Bombyx mori: one gene and its partner. The protein of the gene in region 1 interacts with the protein of each later gene in a pairwise test. Links are inferred from orthologs where the notes say so. Each region holds a gene or a part of one and is shown in the gene's direction. Other genes may lie near its edges.

Region 1 (3,833 bases):
CGTCATTAAGGATCCTCCCGATCCATTAACGGTGCTTTTAGGTACCTCAAGCACTGGTCACGGTGCACGCTGAACCCGTCGCTTGCAACGAAGGGCTCGACTGGTAAATTAACCCATAGACACAGCCCACTGAGTTTCTCGCTGGATCTTCTCAGTGGGTCGCGTTTCCGATCCGGTGGTAGATTCTGCGAAGCACTGCGCTTACTAGGGCCAGTGTTAGCAACACGCCCGGTTTGAGCCCCGTGAGCTCACCTACACGTTAAGACAAAGCTGAAACAGCCTCAAGCTGAAAAAAGGATACAGTTCTGTTACATGAGAAATTTTATTATTAAATTTCAGAAATAACTTGAGACCACCAATCGGCCGCGAAGATTCGGGCTCCGCTGCCTCATCGCCCGACAGAGAGCCCCCGTATCGCCCCGCAGACAGAGATGAAGGTAAACAATAGTCTCGACAGTTCTCCGAATGCAATTTGTCCATAAACAATTAGAAAGGCATCCAATTTCGATTAAACAAAAAACGAAACTATAGACCAGTGGTCGGTTGTCAATCAAAAGAGCCAACGAGAATCCACAATTGAATTTTTGTTTATTATATTTTTGTAGCCTTATGTTTCAAAATTGTTTACGCGTCTCTTGCAAAGCAAGATAATAATAATAACATTCCGTGCCTGAACTAAGGCTCATTGACGTCAGCAATGCCGGGGGCAGAGCCAAGCCGCTGCCTACCATAAAGTACTCTGCACAAGCCTCGTTTGAACAAGGACATGTCATAGCGCTCGGAAAACACCGTGGAGGGGAGTTCATTCCAAAGCCGGATGGTACATGGCAAAAAAAATCTTTGGAAACGCACTGTCAATGAACGCAGCGGTTCCAGATAATATGGATGAACTCTGCTCCGATGGCGGGAGGTGCGATGATAAAAAGGAGATGAGATCTGTGATTAAAGAAGTCTTTGACAATAGAACCATAATAATTGTCAAAGTTTTAATTACAGTTAATTATAGTCGAATTTCGACTATTGGGGAGCGACTACTCTAAAAAATATAAACTCCCTTAGACAGGGTTTTTAAACTTATTTATTATATTATAAACTATTATATTATATTATATATTATAAACTATTAATTTTTTCAGCAGATTTGGGTGAAGCGTGGGCCCGGGGCGTTGCGGCCCGGGGAGGCCGCGTTGTGCGCGTCACCTACCCTCGCACTGCAAATAACGATAAAGAATTAACTGTCGTTAGGGGAGAGTATTTAGAGGTAAGTTCTAATCTTGTTCAGAATTCTAGCAAATTCTCCCAATCTCAAGCATGAGCTAAGTACGTATTTCAGTAGAAAAAAAAGTGGCTTCCTGCGGGTTTATTCAAATACGGCTAGTTTAAATTGATTGTATTTTTTATTTATTGCTCAAGACATTTAATGCCAACCACACGGCGCCATGAAGGATTTGGGAACCGAGCACACGGCGCCGGGCTTGTAATTATGTTTCTTTTTATGCAGCAGTATGTACCGTTTCCACCGTTCGTGTTGATAGCATTATGTGACGCATATGGACATATGCGTAAAGTAGCGATCTTATAAGATCAATATATTGATCAATGCACGCACAACGGCGCCGTGAGTCCGGGCCCTCGATCCTCCACAGCGCAGTGTGTTCGACATTAAATGCGTTAAGTGGGTGGACGAGCTCACAGCCCACCTAATGTGAAGTGGTTACTCCGGTAACCACTTCATATCTGCCTATAAACATCTACAACGTAAATGCCACCACCTACCTACCTTGAGATAATAGTTCTAAGGTCTCAGTTTTTACAGTACAACGACTGCCTCACCCTTCAAACCGAAACGCATTACTGCTTCACAGCAGAAATAGGCAGGGTGGTGATACCTACCCGTGCGGACTCACAAGACGTCCTACCACCAGTAATTAAGCAAATTATAATTTGTATTACAAAATGAAGTCCAGAAATATGTTTGACTTCGAGAAAGGTCTCTTAACTTCCTTTATACTTATTTCCATGGTGTCGTTAGGGGAGAGTATTTAGAGGTAAGTTCTAATCTTGTTCAGAATTCTAGCAAATTCTCCCAATCTCAAGCATGAGCTAAGTACGTATTTCAGTAGAAAAAAAAGTGGCTTCCTGCGGGTTTATTCAAATACGGCTAGTTTAAATTGATTGTATTTTTTATTTATTGCTTAACACATTTAATGCCAACCACACGGCGCCATGAAGGATTTGGGAACCGAGCACACGGCGCCGGGCTTGTAATTATGTTTCTTTTTATGCAGCAGTATGTACCGTTTCCACCGTTCGTGTTGATAGCATTATGTGACGCATATGGACATATGCGTAAAGTAGCGATCTTATAAGATCAATATATTGATCAATGCACGCACAACGGCGCCGTGAGTCCGGGCCCTCGATCCTCCACAGCGCAGTGTGTTCGACATTAAATGCGTTAAGTGGGTGGACGAGCTCACGGCCCACCTAATGTGAAGTCGTGACGGAGCCTATAAACATCTACAACGTAAATGCCACCACCTACCTTGAGATAATAGTTCTAAGGTCTCAGTTTTTACAGTACAACGACTGCCCCACCCTTCAAACCGAAACGCATTACTGCTTCACAGCAGAAATAGGCAGGGTGGTGGTACCTACCCGTGCGGACTCACAAGACGTCCTACCACCAGTAATTAAGCAAATTACAATTTGTATTACAAAATTAAGTCCTGAAATATGTTTGACTTCGAGAAAGGTCTCTTTACTTACTTTATACTTATTTTCATGGTGTTTCAATGTGTCAAAATTTCAAATTCATGACGTAATCTTTCATCCAACATTGTTCTATATCAGGTTCTAGATGATTCGAGAAAGTGGTGGAAGGCACGTAACAGACGCGGCGTGTCAGCGCACGTGCCACACACCATCGTGGCTCCCGCGTTTTCGCCGCCTTCGTCACCACACCTCTACCCTAATCCGATATACACACATTACCAGGTTCGTACTTTTAACATTTACGCACTAATACTACTCCGGCTGGCCCACAGGCAGAAGTTCAATACGCTGGTTGGACCAGTTTTTTTTTTTAATTCATAAATGGTTGGACGAGCTTACAGCCCACCTGGTGTTAAGTGGTTACTGGAGCCCATAGACAACTACAACGTAAACGCGCCCCCACCTTGAGATATAAGTTCTAAAGTCTCAGTATAGTTACAATGGCTGCCCCACCCTTCAAACCGAAACGCATTATTGCTAAACGACAGAAATAGGCAGGGCGGTGGTACTCAGCCGTGCTGACTCACAAGAGGTCCTACCACCAGTAATATTGTTGATTTGATTTTTATTTTTTCATAATTCTTATAAATTGTTATAGAAGAATTACCTGTATTGCATTAGAAAGTTCTTCTCTGAAATTTCTGGCAGCCATCCTGTCCCTGATTAATATTTATAACATGATTACTCTTTTTGTTTTTAATCCGTGATGTTTAAACAATCTCATATTGTTTAAAGAAGTCAGCTTAGACCGTTGACATAACAACGGAAATCCCACAACCCATCACGAGACGTGAGGTCGAAGATCCAATTGTATTGCACAAATGCTGCCTCACCGTTAAAACAGAGTTAAAACCGCGTCAGCTTCGCAGCAGAAATAGTCCAGATGGCGATACTAATTTTTTTTTCCTACCTAACCTGATAGCCTTGAGAGGATATTTCAGCGTAACCATAACTATGGTGATACATAACCGTGCTGTTATAAAATACGCTTCACATACTGCAAATGTCGGTTGGCAGCACTGGTAGGCTGGTATTAGCCTCATAGAATGCTGCTGCTT
Region 2 (3,929 bases), on another chromosome or scaffold:
GACAGTTCTGAGAAACAAACACACAAATGGTTCCATACTCAATAGTATATAATACGCACTAGTATTTATCTATTCCACTGATACCACACTAACACTAATTTTACTCTCGCTTTAGATTTAGGATTGCTTTTGCACTACGCATTGTATTGCTTGTCTCGCTTCTCGTCCTTCCATTGCAAGACAAAATAGTTAAAAATTAACAAAAAAGTACGCTGGACATCAGCTGAACATCAACTCGCAATTTGAGACGTGAGATCGAAGTCTCAACTTTTGGCATCATCCGTAACTTGAGCTGATCGTAACAGAATCAAGTTATGTGATGAGCTATCTTGGGCTCTGGTAGAGCCCCTGGTCTACCCCACGTGTGATCGTTGTCTTCCATTCTGGTCTCCGACTTTTATAAGACGATTATATAACGGTGTTTGTGCGAGCTTCCCAGGACTGAACTTAGCAGGGTCACCTGTTACGTCGTTAATAGTCAGCGGGCGTCCTCTTTGGGTCCTAGCCTAACTTATCACGTTCAATGAGCTTACCAAAACTTCCACCATAGGTTTTTTTTTATTGCGATTTATGCTAGTTGCAGTAAACGAACTCATGTCCCAACTGCTGTTAAATCGTTACCGGAGCCATGTATCAACAACGTAAGCGCATGTACCAACGTGTCCCACCTTGAGATATGAGTTTTAACTCTCCGTTTTTACAGTACAGCAGCTGTCAACCCTTCAAACCAAAACGTAATTAACTGCTTCACGGCAGAAATAGGCATCTAGTGGTACCTACCCATGCAGGTTCATAGGACACCTTACCACCAGTAAAAGGTGGTAAGGCATAGGTAGGTGCTCGACTTACGGTCAAGATGCTCCGTCACATAAGTGATTAGTCAGTTTCACTATTTATTTATCTTTTTAGTATAAGTAGATAAATTTGATATATAGAAAACTAGTGGAAATTGTATAAAATCGATTTAATAGTCTTCAGTAACCTCTAATTTATAGGTATTATGTACAGACATACTCTGCGATAGGACGTGGTAGATTAGAAATTACTAGGTATATTGGTTGAGATAAATTAATGGACATCATTAATATAATCGATCGACCGTGACAGGTGCGTGACATACTGTGACTAATTTCAGGGAATGTGAAAAATTATTTACTCAGGATATCATTTAATAAATTTAAAAAAATACTAAAATTTTCTGTATACATTCAGATTTTCGTGTACGTGTATTTATGTGCCTTCTGCGCTAGATTTCAATAAGTAATGTGATAAAGAGAATGTGGCGTTATTTACGTTTCCTTTCACAGTGATAAGAATACGATAATAAGATAATTCGAAGGATTCTTAGCTTCGGACGAACTCGCTTCATATGGTAATAATTCATTGTTGTGTAACATTAATACTATAATTGTTTCAGGAGGTATGTTTGTATTGTGCACTTCGTGTTTGTTTATCGTTACAAGACGTATAAACAATAAGTGTCTTCTCGTTTAAGCTGGTTATTTAAGTCATTGACAGATAATAATCAATTGTCCAGTAAAACACTTAATCAACTTATTGGCAAATGCTTTCAGATCGGGATCGGTAATTTAGCAGCGTTAATTGGAAGCAAAAAAAAATTACTATTTTTCTTTTGGTTTGGTAATAGCAACATTAATGACAGTGTTCTGCTACAGTATTTTTCACACACAAAAAAACAGCATAGAAGCCCATTTAATTTCAAACTTATTACCATTAAAATCGTAATAAAATTTTAAACTTTATTCTATTTTGATCATCAACCTAAATAATAAGGACAAACCAATTAATAATTCCATACAATACTTCATACATATGGTTAAATTTTCAATACAATGTACAAAATCATTATCAATGTTACCTTTAAACTATAATTACTGCCTTATGGGACAAGTATTCCTAACACCTATAGCCCGTTAATTTAAATTTTATAAAACATTAACTTCAATTATTCATGATACTGAATAAAATGTGAAAAGTAGAACTCCATATTTTATTTTTCTTTCCCAGAAATGTCCAGTATTAAGATGAAACCACAGCCTAAATAAAACAATATTATGCTTCATTCAAAAGGTTTAACTAAGAGCATACACTATGAATGAAAATATATCTTCACTCACTGCTCCAATTTCTGTGTCCACATATCATCAACTGAGCTTAACAGGTAAGTTCAAATACATTTTGATCTAAACTGATTGAAAATTAATCTTGAAATATTTTTGCAAATGATATTAAATGAAATTATCAAATCTTCTAACACACATTGTATATTTTTAGTGGAATCAGCAAATATAAAAAATTCAGGCTTGTTCAAACCAAATCCATACCTGCAAGTTATAATTGATGATAAAATATTGAGAAAGACTGAAGTTATAAGGAACACCTTGCATCCAAAATGGAAAGAAGATCTTACTATTTTGGTGACGCCACAATCGCAATTACTGTTCCGTCTTGCAGATTATCATAGCTTTAGGAAAGACAATGTGATTGGTGAAAAAAAAGTGAACCTATTAAAAGTTTTGTTTTACTGTAATGGGAAATGTGAGAATTTAGAACTTACATTAGGTGAGTTAAACTGAACCAGTTTCTGTTGAAATTAAGAATAATTGAAGATTATTTAATATAGCCTTATAAAACTCTCTTCACTGAGAATTCATTTTAAAATAAGTACAATTTTTCAATATAATAAGAATGTAAAAGAAAGACATTACAATATTCAAAATTTGTGAAATTGTGCTTCATATAAATTCAGTAAACAAGTAAAACAAAACTTGTTGTAATGTTTGCACTTTTTTAGATTTAATGAAAACATCTTCTCAAGAGAATACTAGTGGAAATGCTGAGGTAAAAACAGCAGAACTGGTGTTGCTTCTAGATGGCTTAAGAATTGACCCTGGAGTGTTGACACAAACACGTGAATTACTTGGTGAAACGGCAAATACTGCAGCTCCCCTTAATGAAGGGGTGCGAGCCAGAATCAGAATGCGCAACAATCCTGAGACTGTTAGATCCATGATGCGATCACTAACACTTGGAGTAAGTTGATGTTTCTATTATTTGTATCATACAAAAAATTTAAAATAGAAACAATCCATCTACTACAACAAGGCTGCCTGGTTGAGTAATAACATTTATTCATGAATTATTATTAATTTCCATTAAATTGTTCATGACTAATTTAAGCTTTCCCATTCTATTTTAAAAAGGTTTATCTTTTGATCTATTTATATTTTAGTTTTAAATTACATTTTAAAGTTTTGAGATTGTAAAGAACTTTCATTAAAGAGTAAAGATATATTTTGCACATTCCATCAAAGTATAGTGTTTATATGGTCAATACAACTAAGAAGAAAAAGTTAGTTCTGTATAAATTATTTTTTTCATTTTTAAAGCCACCTCCAGGACCTCCACCAATGAGCAATGGGTCTATACATTTACCGAGTACTGCAACACAGTCATCATCAGAAACTGCAGGCCCCTCACAGCAGTCACGCCTGCCTGGTACACAGGATCCAACATCAACACAGCCAACATCTGCTAATACTGCTTACCCTAATGCTGCTGAGGAGCCTTTGCCTCCTGGGTGGGAAATGAGATATGATGGTTATGGTAGACGGTAAGTATTCCAACTCATAAATATTTAACGCGTCTCATACTAGCTGGTAGATCTTTCAATTCGATTTACAATATACTGTTTGGTCAGTGTTCGAGAAGTTAGGAAAGTAAAAAAAAAAAGAATAAGTATGTACTTTCTTTAAATTCATTGGAGTATAAACTGATTAAAAATTATTTGGTGTAAACGATAATACGTAACTATCTGCTACCGATGTGTCGTGTCATTATCTATACTAATATATAAATCTACAGTGGTTTTTACAGACGTTCCATTATAACTACTGAACCATGCATCC

Evidence for each region.
Region 2: the proteins of epidermal growth factor receptor kinase substrate 8-like protein 1 (region 1) and E3 ubiquitin-protein ligase Su(dx) interact in a two-hybrid assay, tested with the Caenorhabditis elegans proteins (2 studies listed by BioGRID). The link is inferred for Bombyx mori from reciprocal best matches to the Caenorhabditis elegans genes eps-8 and wwp-1.

The regions. Positions count from the first base shown.
Region 1 is NC_085133.1:7,043,063-7,046,895, forward strand, and holds part of epidermal growth factor receptor kinase substrate 8-like protein 1, read left to right. Parts: intron 1-339; coding exon 340-437; intron 438-1,136; coding exon 1,137-1,261; intron 1,262-2,853; coding exon 2,854-2,997; intron 2,998-3,833.
Region 2 is NC_085110.1:8,433,095-8,437,023, reverse strand, and holds the start of E3 ubiquitin-protein ligase Su(dx), read left to right. Parts: upstream 1-997; 5' UTR 998-1,107; exon of another isoform or gene 1,108-1,307; 5' UTR 1,308-1,372; exon of another isoform or gene 1,373-1,420; intron 1,421-1,442; exon of another isoform or gene 1,443-1,641; intron 1,642-2,028; 5' UTR 2,029-2,112; coding exon 2,113-2,182; intron 2,183-2,295; coding exon 2,296-2,583; intron 2,584-2,815; coding exon 2,816-3,054; intron 3,055-3,410; coding exon 3,411-3,634; intron 3,635-3,929. UniProt on the Caenorhabditis elegans protein: E3 ubiquitin-protein ligase which accepts ubiquitin from an E2 ubiquitin-conjugating enzyme in the form of a thioester and then directly transfers the ubiquitin to targeted substrates. Ubiquitinates klf-1.